Linked DNA regions of Xenopus tropicalis. The protein of the gene in region 2 interacts with the protein of the main gene of each other region in a pairwise test. Links are inferred from orthologs where the notes say so. Each region holds a gene or a part of one and is shown on either strand. Other genes may lie near its edges. The genes, in order: hspb2, dmpk and atxn1.

Region 1 (4,186 bases), on a different chromosome or scaffold from region 2:
AGGCTTACTTGTTTCCTACAATTGTGTCTGTAAAGGAGAAGGAAAGGCTAAGTCACTTGGAGGTGCCAAAATGTTAGGCACCACCAAGTGACTTAAATCGCTTACCTTGTACCCCGGGCTGGTGCCCCTGTTCGAAGAGAACAGCACCAGCCCGGGGTAGCTGTAGCGAGCGCTTCCTTTTTCTGCGTTTCTTCTACCGGTGAAATCCCTGGGCTGGCACATGTGCATTAGAGTGAAAAGTCGACTTTGTTGTTAAAGTTTGGCTTTTCACTCTAATGCGCATGCGCAGTGCACCAACGTGGAAGAAGGAAGTGCTCGCAGCTACCCTGGGCTGGTGCAGTTTTCTCCTAACAGCCATACACACCATTACTTTCGGAAAACTACTATTCTGAAAATGACCATTTCCCTGCAAACTGGAGGCTACATCACTCTAGGGCCAACACAGACTTGAATAAATCACACTGCAAAGTCCATATTGTGTTGCCAAAAGCTCATGAACTGTACTTTTCTATAATTACCGCCTGCCCCAAGTAGGTGTTAATTTTCGCACAGACGAATGCGATATTTAGCGCGTCTAAGTGTTTGTGAATCATGCGTTAGTATTATTTCTGTGCGAGAATTAACGCAATGCGTTAAAATGAACACATTCGGTTGCGCGCTATTTAACGTAAGGCATGCGATAATATTTTAGCGAATCGCATGCTTTTTTCGCATCAATTTTAACACAAAAAAGCATGCAATAACGCTTATCGACCTTTAGTGAATCAACCCTATTGTCTTTCAATCTCTTTGCAATTTTGCTATAAAAAGTATCTGTACAATGCCTTTACATCACACATCTAATCCCCATGTTCCTCTATGAGGGGGCTATGAGGGACAGTGGGGTTTAGAAACTTTAAGTAACAATTATTTACAAAAGCAGGCCTATCAGTGAAAAATGATCGACATGACCTGTAGGTAACTTTTTACATACATTTATAATTTGAAGAATAATTTTTTAGGGTCACTATTACTTTAACATGCTTCATGCTAAAAGAGAGACTCTTTCTCTTTTCTGCCCTATTGTTTATAAGTATAGCTTATATCATAGAGATAAATGAGGTATAAACAGTTTGATCTACTTGTACATGGCAGAAGTGCCTGTAGTAGAGTATTGGAGTACAGGTATGGGATCCCTTATCCAGAAACCCATTATCCAGAAAATTCCGAATTACGGAAACCCTGTCTCCCATAGACTCCAATTATAAGCAATTAATTCTAATTTTTAAAAATGATTTCCTTTTTCTGTGTAATAATAAAACAGTACCTTGTAATTGATCCCAACTAAGATATAATTAATCCTTATTGGAGGCAAAACAAGCCTATTGGGTTTATTCAATATTTAAATGATTTTTAGAAGACTTAAGTTATGGAGATCCAAATTACAGAAAGATCCCTTATCTGGAAAACCCCAGGTCCCGAGCATTCTGGATAACAGGTCCCATACCTGTATGTGATTATTAACCCAAGTGACCCCTCAGCAGACCCTCTCCCTATAAGTACATAATAGCAAAGATATTGAAAACACTCATTAAGTAATTTAAACATATTAGGAGTTAGATCAATCCACAATAATGGTGAGCTTAACTCATGCCAATTGTTGTTTGTGTCAGTCACTTATAAGGGATGCAGAGTCATCTTAATAAAATGTCAATGCACAGTCACTGTCTATGCCAACACAGACAATGAGAGATGGAGCAGCTGTGTTACTATTTTTATGACCTCCAGCACCAGTTACCAGCACTTATGTAAACTAAACTGATATCCAACCTGCAGTATGTTAGATTTACAGCAGAAGCCAAAACACATTACGCTCTAAAAACCTTGAAAAACATAATCAATTCAAAACATTTTTGTATACAATGCCATGGGTAAAACCCTAAATTAGCACAAACATACTGGATGTTTTCATCATACAAACAAAACTTATACATGGAACTTTGCTCTTCCGCACTGATCAAGAAAGAATATTCTTTTAAATATATTTGCAGTGCAGAGCAACAACTGATGCAGAAATAGCCTCTGTTCTTTCTCTTGGCCCCAATAAGCATAGTATGATCCCATTGTGTAGCAGGCAACAAACAATAAGTAAATTCATACAAAATGTGCAGCTATCGATAACAGAGAAGAAAGCTGGGGTGTATGTGAACATCTTACATGCACACAGTTGCTAAACTGGAGAAATAACTATTAGCATGGCTATATTTCTGGCATTAAGCACTATCATTTAATGGCTAATAGAATAAAAATGCAATATACAGATACACAGTATTAAAGAGGATCTCTTTGGCTTGAAACTGTTTTGCATACACAAAATCACAATAAATTATTTTATTATACCCAAGACCCAAGTTCTGGGGATTTATTTGTATTTTAAAATACTTGCTCTGCTAAAAACTATGCTCTGCTATGTAGGGAGATAACATTGGCATCAAACATACATTTTACCGTCCAGATGGCAATGCAGTAGGGAGTGCGAAAAGCTGGGTTGTAAAATGTTCATTTAATTGTTGTGATAGCTCTGAAAGTTACGCAATTCTGTTTTTCAAGTATTTTTTTTTTAATAATTCTTTTTCTTCTTTCTCTTTACCTTTTTTATTTAGCCAATTATATCAAACAAAAAAAAATACACATTTTTAGTTACCTTCTCCAAAGTTTTGGTCAAATATTTTGGTTGGGTTAGCAAATTCATATTCTGCACTCATGGGATAGGCATGAGGCACAGTTCTACCTTCCATCGACCCAAGTAGGAAAATAATGATGGTTTCTATCGAGGTGTCTGGCTGCAGTGCAGATGAGAGAAAGCAGCCTCTGCCTTCAACATTTTAATCACCGGGAGCTGATGGGAGGGGAAACTCTGATACCATAAAGCCCCCAAATAACTTTAGTTGCTGAGGCTTAAGGTTTCTGTAAACAGAATAGCTCACAGGGACACTTTTTGGATTTATGAGTTAAGTTTTCTGGCCTGGAAACTGTATCATTTCAGTTCATACAGTACATACTGTATATGGATGCTGAGGTAACAAAAATAATTAAAGCAAATCAGAATTCAATATATCTGTGGTAGCCATACCAGATAGACTAGAACTTTGATGAAGACTTTCATGAAGATAATGAGGTATGTTGTGTCAATGGAAGAAAAAGGAATTCATAAACTGAGGTTCCTGAGTCCAGTCTATGGAAGTTTGGAGTTTGAGTTTTCAAAAGTTGTCCAGCAGGTCTATCTGACAGGCACCTAGATGTTGTTGGATGAATAAGAATTATTTTTGAAGGAGAGTGACTGAGGAGAAGTATAGAGTTCTGCATCTTCTATATTGTTCATAGGATGCATTGTTTATAGGAGTCCATAGGATGTATTTCGTAGCCAGGGTTATGTGTCTTCGAAGAACCCAGTTACAATAGGCTAGGGTCTTTCTACATAGGAAACTTTATCTGTGCCATCTGTATATTGTTGCCAAGCTACATGAAATTATGTTATGAAGGGAAGTACAAGATAGAGGTCATCTTGCAGCTTGAGGTTTTGTGGTGATGGATGATGGAAATCTTGATCACCTGATGTTGGTAATGACTAGCGATGAGCGAATTTTTTCATCAGGCATAGATTTTCAGCGAATTTCCGCATTTCACCATTGGTGAATTGTTTCACAAAACTCCCATAAAAATTTGCAACGGAAAAAAGGGTTCGGTCATGGCAAATTGGGCATGGGCGCATCAAAAAAACGTGGGCGACCAAAAAAGACATGGAAAAAATTGTGCAACAAATTCGTTTCGCGAATTTTTATTGATTTCGCAAATTTTCTTGCTCTTTCGCACATTTTATGGCAAAGTTAAATGGGACAGATTCGCTCTTCACTAGTAATGACCTTCACAACCTGAAAAGGAAGCATCTGCTGTGATGGACAGAATTAAAAGTGGAGGAATGAATGCTGATGGAGGAAAAAGATCCAGTGCTGAAGGTTAAAATTGAAGGAATGTACACTGTAGAAGTGTTAATGAAGAATATCAAAATGTGCTGCCTGTAGGTAGAGAAAGCCATTTCCCTATGGCCATGGCTACTCTTCTCAAGGTAAGAAAAAGGAACCTAGGTGGAAGAACTGAATTTTATAGATTTATCTAAGACCAAAGATTTTATTTTAGGGTGAGAATA
Region 2 (3,652 bases):
CGGTATATTACACAAAGTTTTTTGTTGTAACTTAGGTTCAGACTCTTTTAATAATTATGTTGAAATTGTTTAAGGCTTTCTTTATCACAGTGAATTTTCTATAGTCTGCATTACAATATCTCAGTTGATGAAGCAGCTGGTACAACTTGTTTTGTCTATGCTTTTTAAGCTCTCAGTTCAAATAAGCATTAGGTTATAGTCAGCAACTGTACAGTGGACGGGGTCCCATCTATGGTCTATGGATAGCTCAATAAGAAGGGCTTTGTGATACAAGGTACCTTAAAGGAACAGTAACACCAACAAATGAAAGTGTATAAAAATAACTAAAATATAATGTGCTGCTGCCCTGCACTGGTAAAAGTTGTGTGTTTACTTCAGAAAGTCTACTATAATTTATATAAATAAGCTGCTATGTAGCCATGGAGGCAGCCATTCAAAGGAGAAAAGGCACAGGCACATATCAGATAACAGATAAAACACTATTGTATTCTACAGAGCTTATCTGTTATCTGCTATGTAACCTGTGCCTTTTCTCCTTTTTTCCAGCTTGAATGGCTGCCCCCGTGGCTACACAGCAGCTTATTATATAAATTATAGTAGTGTTACTGGAGCAAACACACCAGTTTTACCAGTGCAGGGCAACAGTACATTATAGTTTGATTACTTTAAAGCTCTTTCATTTTTTTGGTGTTACTGTTCCTTTAAGGCAAAAGCATAATGATCCAGACTGCTTTGTAAGTCCTCAGAAATAAAAGTCACGCTGTTTTTTTTTAAAAAAAATAACTAGCAGTCATTTTATCTCTTTAGAGCAGAATTTAGGATCAAGCTTAAGTCTCCTGCTGAAAGTAATTTCAGAAAAAGCCAGGGAAAAGTTTGTGCTTTTTAAGCTGGCCATGACTAGATTCTGGTTAGGCAATTTTTCATAAACGTGAGCAACACACCAAGTCAGACCAAAGTTGAATCATACCACAAATACCTCCATATGTAAAAAAAGGTAATAAGTTTGCCCAGGAGCAGTAACCCATAGCAACTCCATAGGCTATATAATACATATCCAGTTGAAATATCAAACAGAATTGTTGGAATATCTAAAATCTGCAGCATCTAGACTTGTGGCCATTTTCACTCACCGCACTGTATAAGAATAGCCAACAAAAGGCAGGTGAACTCCAAGAGGAGAGCTGTCTCCAACATCAGAGAGTGTCTCCTGGGAACAAAAGATAAAATACTTCAAAAATGCCAGTGGAAAAGGAAATTATCACTTTTTTAATTATCACTCATCAAACCTACAACACTGACACCTATTCACCTTAAAACAATACAAATTGGAAAAATTAAAAGATGGTAATGCTACCAAAATGCCACTGGAGTGAGAGTATTGTAGACAATAAGGGCTCTGGTACACGGGGAGATTAGTTGCCCGCGGCAAAACTCCCTGCTCGCGGGCGACTAATCTCCCCGAGTTGCCTTCCCCCTGCCATCCCCCCGGCGAACATGTAAGTCGCCGGCGGGATGGCAGACGCGGCGGCGCGATTTCGCGCAAATCGCTTTCGGCGATTTCCCGAAATCGCCTCGCCGCGTCTGCCATCCCGCCGGCGACTTACATGTTCGCTGGGGGGATGGCAGGGGGAAGGCAACTCGGGGAGATTAGTCGCCTGCGGCAAAACTCCCTGCTCGCGGGCGACTAATCTCCTCGAGTTGCCTTCCCCCTGCCATCCCACCGGCGAACATGTAATCTCCCCGTGTACCAGAGCCCTAAGATGACACGTTCAGAATCCAAAACACCAATGGGAAACTGCACAAGACACATACTCTACATAGTAAGAATGTCACCTCTTTATAAGAAGTGCAGTTGACACAAACTGATTACACAGTGTTCCTATTACACGGCTGCCCACAGATGACTTGAGCAGGGGAACCTTCCGTGCAATGCATGATTTGAAACCATGATGGTGTAGTGTTCTACCGACAGTGACCTCTGAAATTGTGGTCCCAGCTCTCTTCATGTCATTGACCAGCTCCTCCCTTGTAGTTCTGGGCTGATTCCTCACCTTTCTTATCATCAGTGATACCCCAGGAGGTGAGATCTTGCATGGAGCCCCAGTCGTAGGGAGACTGACAGTTGTCTTTAGCCTCTTCCATTTTCTAACAATTGCTCCAACAGTTGATCTGTCCACAACTGTCCACAATTTTGTCTCTGGTGTCTTTTGATAGTTCTTTGGTCTTGCCCATGGTAGTAGTTGGAGTCTGACTGACTGTGGGGTGGACAGGTATCTTTAAAGAGCTCAGACAGGTGCTACTAATTTAGATTAATGAGCGTAGTAGAGGTGGACTATTTAGGCTGATGGCAGACAAGGCATAGGACGGATATTTTCGGCAAGAGGGAAAAGCGCTTGCTGAAAATACTGCCCTACGCCTCCTCCTACTGGAATACACTCGGGTGCAGGCACATGTAGCCAAAATACGCATAAAAATGCGAGACCGCATTCTCTCACATTTTTATGCGTATTTCGGCTACATGTGCCTGCACCCGAGCGTATCTCATTCATTCGGGTGCAGGCACATGTAGGAGGCATAGGGTGGTATTTTCAGCAAGCGCTTTTCTGCTTGCCGAAAATATCCGCCCTACGCATCGTCTGCCATCAGCCTTAAAGGCAGAGTAACAGGTCTTTGAGAGCCAGAATTCTTGCTGATTGCCAGGTGTTCAAATACTTATGTGCAGCAGTGCAATACTAATAAATTCTTTAAAAATCATACAATGTGATTTTAAATGCTGTCTCTCACAGTGGGAATGCACCTACAATGTGAATATCAGACCTCTTTTGTATATGATGTATAAGACTTTAGATTCATAGATAGTGGATTTATTGAAGTAATAAATTATTCTTTAAAAGCAAATACACTGTAAATAATTTGCAAGCCTAACAAAACAATTGACAAATTTTTGAAATAACTTAATAATAACTGTTTGACTAACAGATACTTACACCTCCACCACTAACCATCTCTGAAAGCTGATCTTCAACCATATCGAAATTTGAGGTATCTGTGGCTCCCTCTGACTCAGGTACATATGGCGGAATACTGTCCATCAATCTTTCCCATTCAATGCCAGCAAATAGTGGGTGCATCTGGAAATCTTGAAGCCCACCTCTTCCCAAGCGGGTTTCTCGGTCACAGATGAGAGATGAGATAAAGCTTAATGCCTCAGAAGAAACCTCGCTGGATGAAGGGGGGAATATAAAGTGCTCCTGGTGGGGGATGGAAAGCATGTAATGTAAACCTGTTAGGTATGCTGGGAACTTGTGTGTGTTTTTTCTGTGCCACTGAATCATAGTCCAAAAATCAAAGATCCCCTAAACAAGTGGTTCTCAACCTTCCTAATGCCGCAACCCTTTAATACAGTTCCTCATGTTGTAGTGACCCCCAACAATAGAGGGGTTTTTAAGACCATAGGAAATATGTGTTTTCTGATGGTCTTAGGCAACCCCTGTGAAAGGGTCGTTCGACTCAACCCACAGGTTGAGAACCACTGCCCTAAACAAAAAAAGAGAACTGCAAAAAACACATTTTGTAAAATATTTGGGGTTAAATGTTAGCAGAATAAAACACAAGAAGGCAGTTCTAATAAAGCAAAGTAAAACTATTTACT
Region 3 (4,295 bases), on a different chromosome or scaffold from region 2:
ACACTGAGCACAACTATATAGAAGTAGAAGCAGCATCTTTAAACACAAGTACCTTTAAAGAATGGCATTTTTCCAACACAACTGTGGCAACCTTGGGGCGCCCACTTTCTTGAGGTACAAAGGTTTGAGCTAGGTAGGGAATATCCTACTGCTGTTCTCTATGTAAAAGGTGGCATGTGGCTGGATATGGATATGGATGTCTCATAAGCAGAAGTCCTGCTCAGTGCAAGCTTATAGTACAGGTTCTAGTTCACTCAAGTATGGTGAGCAATATTAAAAGGGCGTGGATAGCATTTTAATGGCCATATGGCCAGACATAATGGAAGACATTCCTCCAAATAGTCCCTAGTTATTATTTATTACTGCACCATATACATAAATGTTATTGAGTAATAGTTACATTTATCGATACTTTACCTGTGAGATTTATGTTTGACAGTTTATGAAATACCTTATTTCTCAGCATTCTAAGCATTCAAGCTTATTTCAACATTCTTCTACATTGTATCCGATTCTGCTTCTGGAGAATAACAATATGGTTATAAAATAGCCAAATATTACCTAAACCACTATACTATCTATCTATATATATACCTATCTATTCTATATATACCTATTACTAGTATCTGTTAGGAGAAATGGAAGAAAATAGGTGCAAAGTTTGCTCCAGATCTATTCAAATAAATAGCAATTAATCAGCAGTTAACATGCTGCAATTAAATACTCAAAAGTCATAAGGGTAATTTATAATAACAATACATGTAACAGTATTGTACATATTTTGTAAAAGCTTATAAGCTTATCTGTCATGGCTCCTGTGGGCCCAGCAGGTCAGCCTTATCCAGTCTTTAATGCATGCCACATCTTGATCCGCGTTTGGTTGCTCCCATTTCTCTCTCTTCAGTATGGACCACTGATGCTCACTCCGTCTTAAACTGAGATAGCTAAAGACACACCTTGGAGGAGTTCAAAACACAAAAAACATGCATTAAAAGAGTAGTATTTTTTCCCACTTTTTTAATACTTTTTTGTATATTGCTTGTATGCTTGTTTGAATATTCACTTAAAGCTGTGGCCCTACGCCCATTTTTGACCTACAGTTCAGTTTGGTACTGCAGCTAAACAACTGTGAGACATCCTTCTAACTACTTAAAGACTTATAATACATCTTAGGTACTTTTATTCATATCACCCCCCCAAAGGCCACCTTTAGTGTTGGTGGCTGATGGAAGATGCCCTCTATATCGCTTAATACAACCAGCCTGGACTGTTTGTTTGTACCAGGGGCAATGTTCAGCCAGGAAGCCGTGTGTACACTTTACTGTGTTTGCTGTTACTTATTGCAGGGCATTGGAACTGTGAAACAACAAAAAAAACCACTGCATGACATATATGAAGGAAACAAGCCATCTGCTTGCTGTGTTTTCCACAACCTATTATGTTTTACCACCAGAGGGTACTCTTCAGGGTCACCGAGTCTGTTAGCATGCTTTTCAGTAACCCTCTGTTCCCTGGAGAGAGGAAAAAAAAACACAACAGGTTAGAAAAGTCCTCAAACACTTGACACCTGCTGGACAAACAGTCAGAAAATCACAGGCAATAGGTGCCCTTGGTGCTGTTTCCCACAAGGCAGCAGCTGAAGCACCCAGGAAGTGAGCTGTAATAGAAAACGTCTTTACATGAAGGGGTATGCCCAAAGCTGAAAGTTTCAGGGATTTTCATTCCCTTATGAGATAGGAAAACACATTCACACAAATAGGACGGTGCCTTATTGAAAAAAGGCTTATGTGGTGGAATGAATTCCATTGTTCAGCCTGCTGGCACAGATAGGGTTAAGCCAGAAGCGATTTCCTACATGACGTGAACACGTAAGGTCTGCGTTGTTCCTCTCTGTGGACATTGAGCTTGGCTTGCCCTTACAATTCCTACTCTCTGCCTCTCCTCCACCCCTTCTTCTCTTTCCAACAGAGGCACACACCCTACAGGAATCAAACGTGTGCACGTATTAAAGTTACTCCGCGCTGCTGCTACGTCTCTGCTCGCACTTTCTTCCTTTAAATGATCCTGAAGAAGAATCCCGAAAACCTCTTTGTTTTTCTTTTAAGGGGAACACCCACATTTAAAACTGCACCCTCAGTAGCTGTAGAGATACAACAAGTATACGGCAGGCTGGCGGATCAGCACGTAGAAGGGGTTAAAGCCGACCGCCCCAGCTCTGTTGTGCGTATGCAATAATCTGTGTGGCTGCCTTGGCCGTCTGCCAGAGTGTTGCCTTGCCTCCACACACACTCTCTGCCCCCCCCCTTCCTCCCTTTTGCATGAAGTAGGATCCTTGAGCTGTTGCAGAGGCAGCCAACTGCTCCATATTTGGCTTCTATTACACATTTACATACTGGAGAGAGAGAGGGAGAGAGCTGTACTGCAGACATCATTTCTACTACAGTAGAGGAGACGTACAAGACCTGTCTTTCTGCGAGGGGGGGCAGAGTAGGAGGAAAAAAAAAGCAATAGCTCAGACACCCTCTTCATCCAACAAGCCCCTATACTGCACTTTACAGTAAGTCGATTTTATTTGTCTCTTCACTTTTCTGTTCTGATCATGCAGACCTTAGTGGGCAAGTGCTATACATGCATGTACTATAGCATTTCCATGTACAGAAGCTTCTCTGGGATCATCTGTAAGCCTTGCAGAACTACAGATCACAGGCTTATTTTTCCTGCTTTTTATACCCCCTGAAAGAAGCAGCGATAAGTGAAATCAGTCAGAGATACAGGCATGTATTTTTTCTGTTCGCTGAAATGATATAGTGCAGTGCCTACCAGGAGTGCACCATCGGTGCAAATGTTCTTGATGAGTGCCGCTGTCTGTGTTTCGTGTAGAGTGGGGCCTGCTTTCCATAGGAACTGAGAGTAATAGAGTGTTTTACCCTGATCAGTAATAGGGAGACTGCAGTAATTGCTTTCCCCATGGGGTAATGAAGAGAGCCAGTGTGAGTGTGTGTACGAGAGAGGAGAGCACACGTTTATGTCACCTCTCTTAGTCCCCTCCTCCTACTGTCTGATCTATCAGTCTGCTTCTCTTCTATGGAGACCACCTGGTTCCAGATTACTATAGAGACACTTGCACAATCTTGCCATTATTTTGATTGTAGGGTTATTCCATTATTCATGAACATAAAAGAACTGGAAGGGCTACAGATACAGAAAGCTAGAAGGCTGAATAGAGGTAATTAGGTAAATTAGGCATGCCCAACATGCGGCCCTCTTTGGCTGGACTACAACTACCAGCATCCCTGGCACTTCCCTGAAAGCAGCCATAAAACCTGGCTTACTAGGTATAAAATCCTTTCTAATATATTTTTTTTATTAATGATATTAAGCCATGTAGTTCAATGTTTAGTGAGCTTACATGTTTGTGATCAAAATTAAACAGACAGGGCTGCATTTTAGCTCTTATGTTGCACTTTCACTACATACAGTCCATATTATTATTATTATTGTTGCTCTACTTTGAATTCATGTAAATAGGCCTAACCAATGACAGAATGTGGTTAGGAATTTGCACAGAGCTGGCCTAAGTAATACAAGTTGCCCTACATTAAAGCCAAGGCATTGTGTTCTGAACCACGGCCTAGTGCTGATAGAAAGACAGGCCCGGAGCATTTGGCAGACAGACTGCTCCACCCCACAGTGCTGGGTTCTGTCCTCGCTGCTTTTACCCTGCCCTCCTGGAGAACAGTATGATCCAGTCTGCTCCTTCCAGAAACACTTTTATAAAAGTAACAGTTGCCATTTTTAAATATGACAGTTATTGTGCTCGCACAAGGCATGGATTTTTAGGAGTGAGCACATAAATTGCAATACATGCAAAATACTAAACTATATTGTGTTAAGAGGCTTATCTCAGTTAAAGCAGATCTACTTTGCAAGGGGATGGTTCCTCTGCTTATTGTGTTTTCAGGCATTAATGGCACTGGTATTATTGTTTAGGTTAATCAGGTTGTGATTACAGACAAAAAACAGTTGCAGAAAGCACAGGTATTTCTATATTCTATTGGCCTCCGTTTTAATGTGCAAAAATATTATAACAACCTAGAAGAGTCGTGTGAGCTGCCGAAACAAGAAGTATTTTTCTACATGACGCGCTTCAAGGCTACAGATCTGCTAGAGCATTTAAAAATCACTAGAATTGGGTCATTCTCTCTGAATGACGTGGAGCCATATGACAGTCTTATCTCATCTGAGATGTAGCTGTACATAAATGCTTGCCCAGTGTGGAAGCTCGCTTGGATGAA

What was found.
Region 1: the proteins of dmpk (region 2) and hspb2 interact in a two-hybrid assay, tested with the Homo sapiens proteins (2 studies listed by BioGRID). The link is inferred for Xenopus tropicalis from reciprocal best matches to the Homo sapiens genes DMPK and HSPB2.
Region 3: the proteins of dmpk (region 2) and atxn1 interact in binary tests that used the Homo sapiens proteins (3 or more experiments, as listed by UniProt). The link is inferred for Xenopus tropicalis from reciprocal best matches to the Homo sapiens genes DMPK and ATXN1.

The regions. Positions count from the first base shown.
Region 1 is NC_030683.2:84,506,259-84,510,444, reverse strand, and holds the start of hspb2 (heat shock protein beta-2), read right to left. Parts: upstream 2,810-4,186; 5' UTR 2,778-2,809; coding exon 2,684-2,777; intron 1-2,683. UniProt on the Homo sapiens protein: May regulate the kinase DMPK.
Region 2 is NC_030684.2:71,035,376-71,039,027, forward strand, and holds part of dmpk (myotonin-protein kinase), read right to left. Parts: intron 3,252-3,652; coding exon 2,988-3,251; intron 1,208-2,987; coding exon 1,131-1,207; intron 1-1,130. UniProt on the Homo sapiens protein: Non-receptor serine/threonine protein kinase which is necessary for the maintenance of skeletal muscle structure and function.
Region 3 is NC_030682.2:93,270,810-93,275,104, forward strand, and holds the start of atxn1 (ataxin-1), read left to right. Parts: upstream 1-1,490; 5' UTR 1,491-2,557; intron 2,558-4,178; exon of another isoform or gene 4,179-4,295. UniProt on the Homo sapiens protein: Chromatin-binding factor that repress Notch signaling in the absence of Notch intracellular domain by acting as a CBF1 corepressor. Binds to the HEY promoter and might assist, along with NCOR2, RBPJ-mediated repression. Binds RNA in vitro.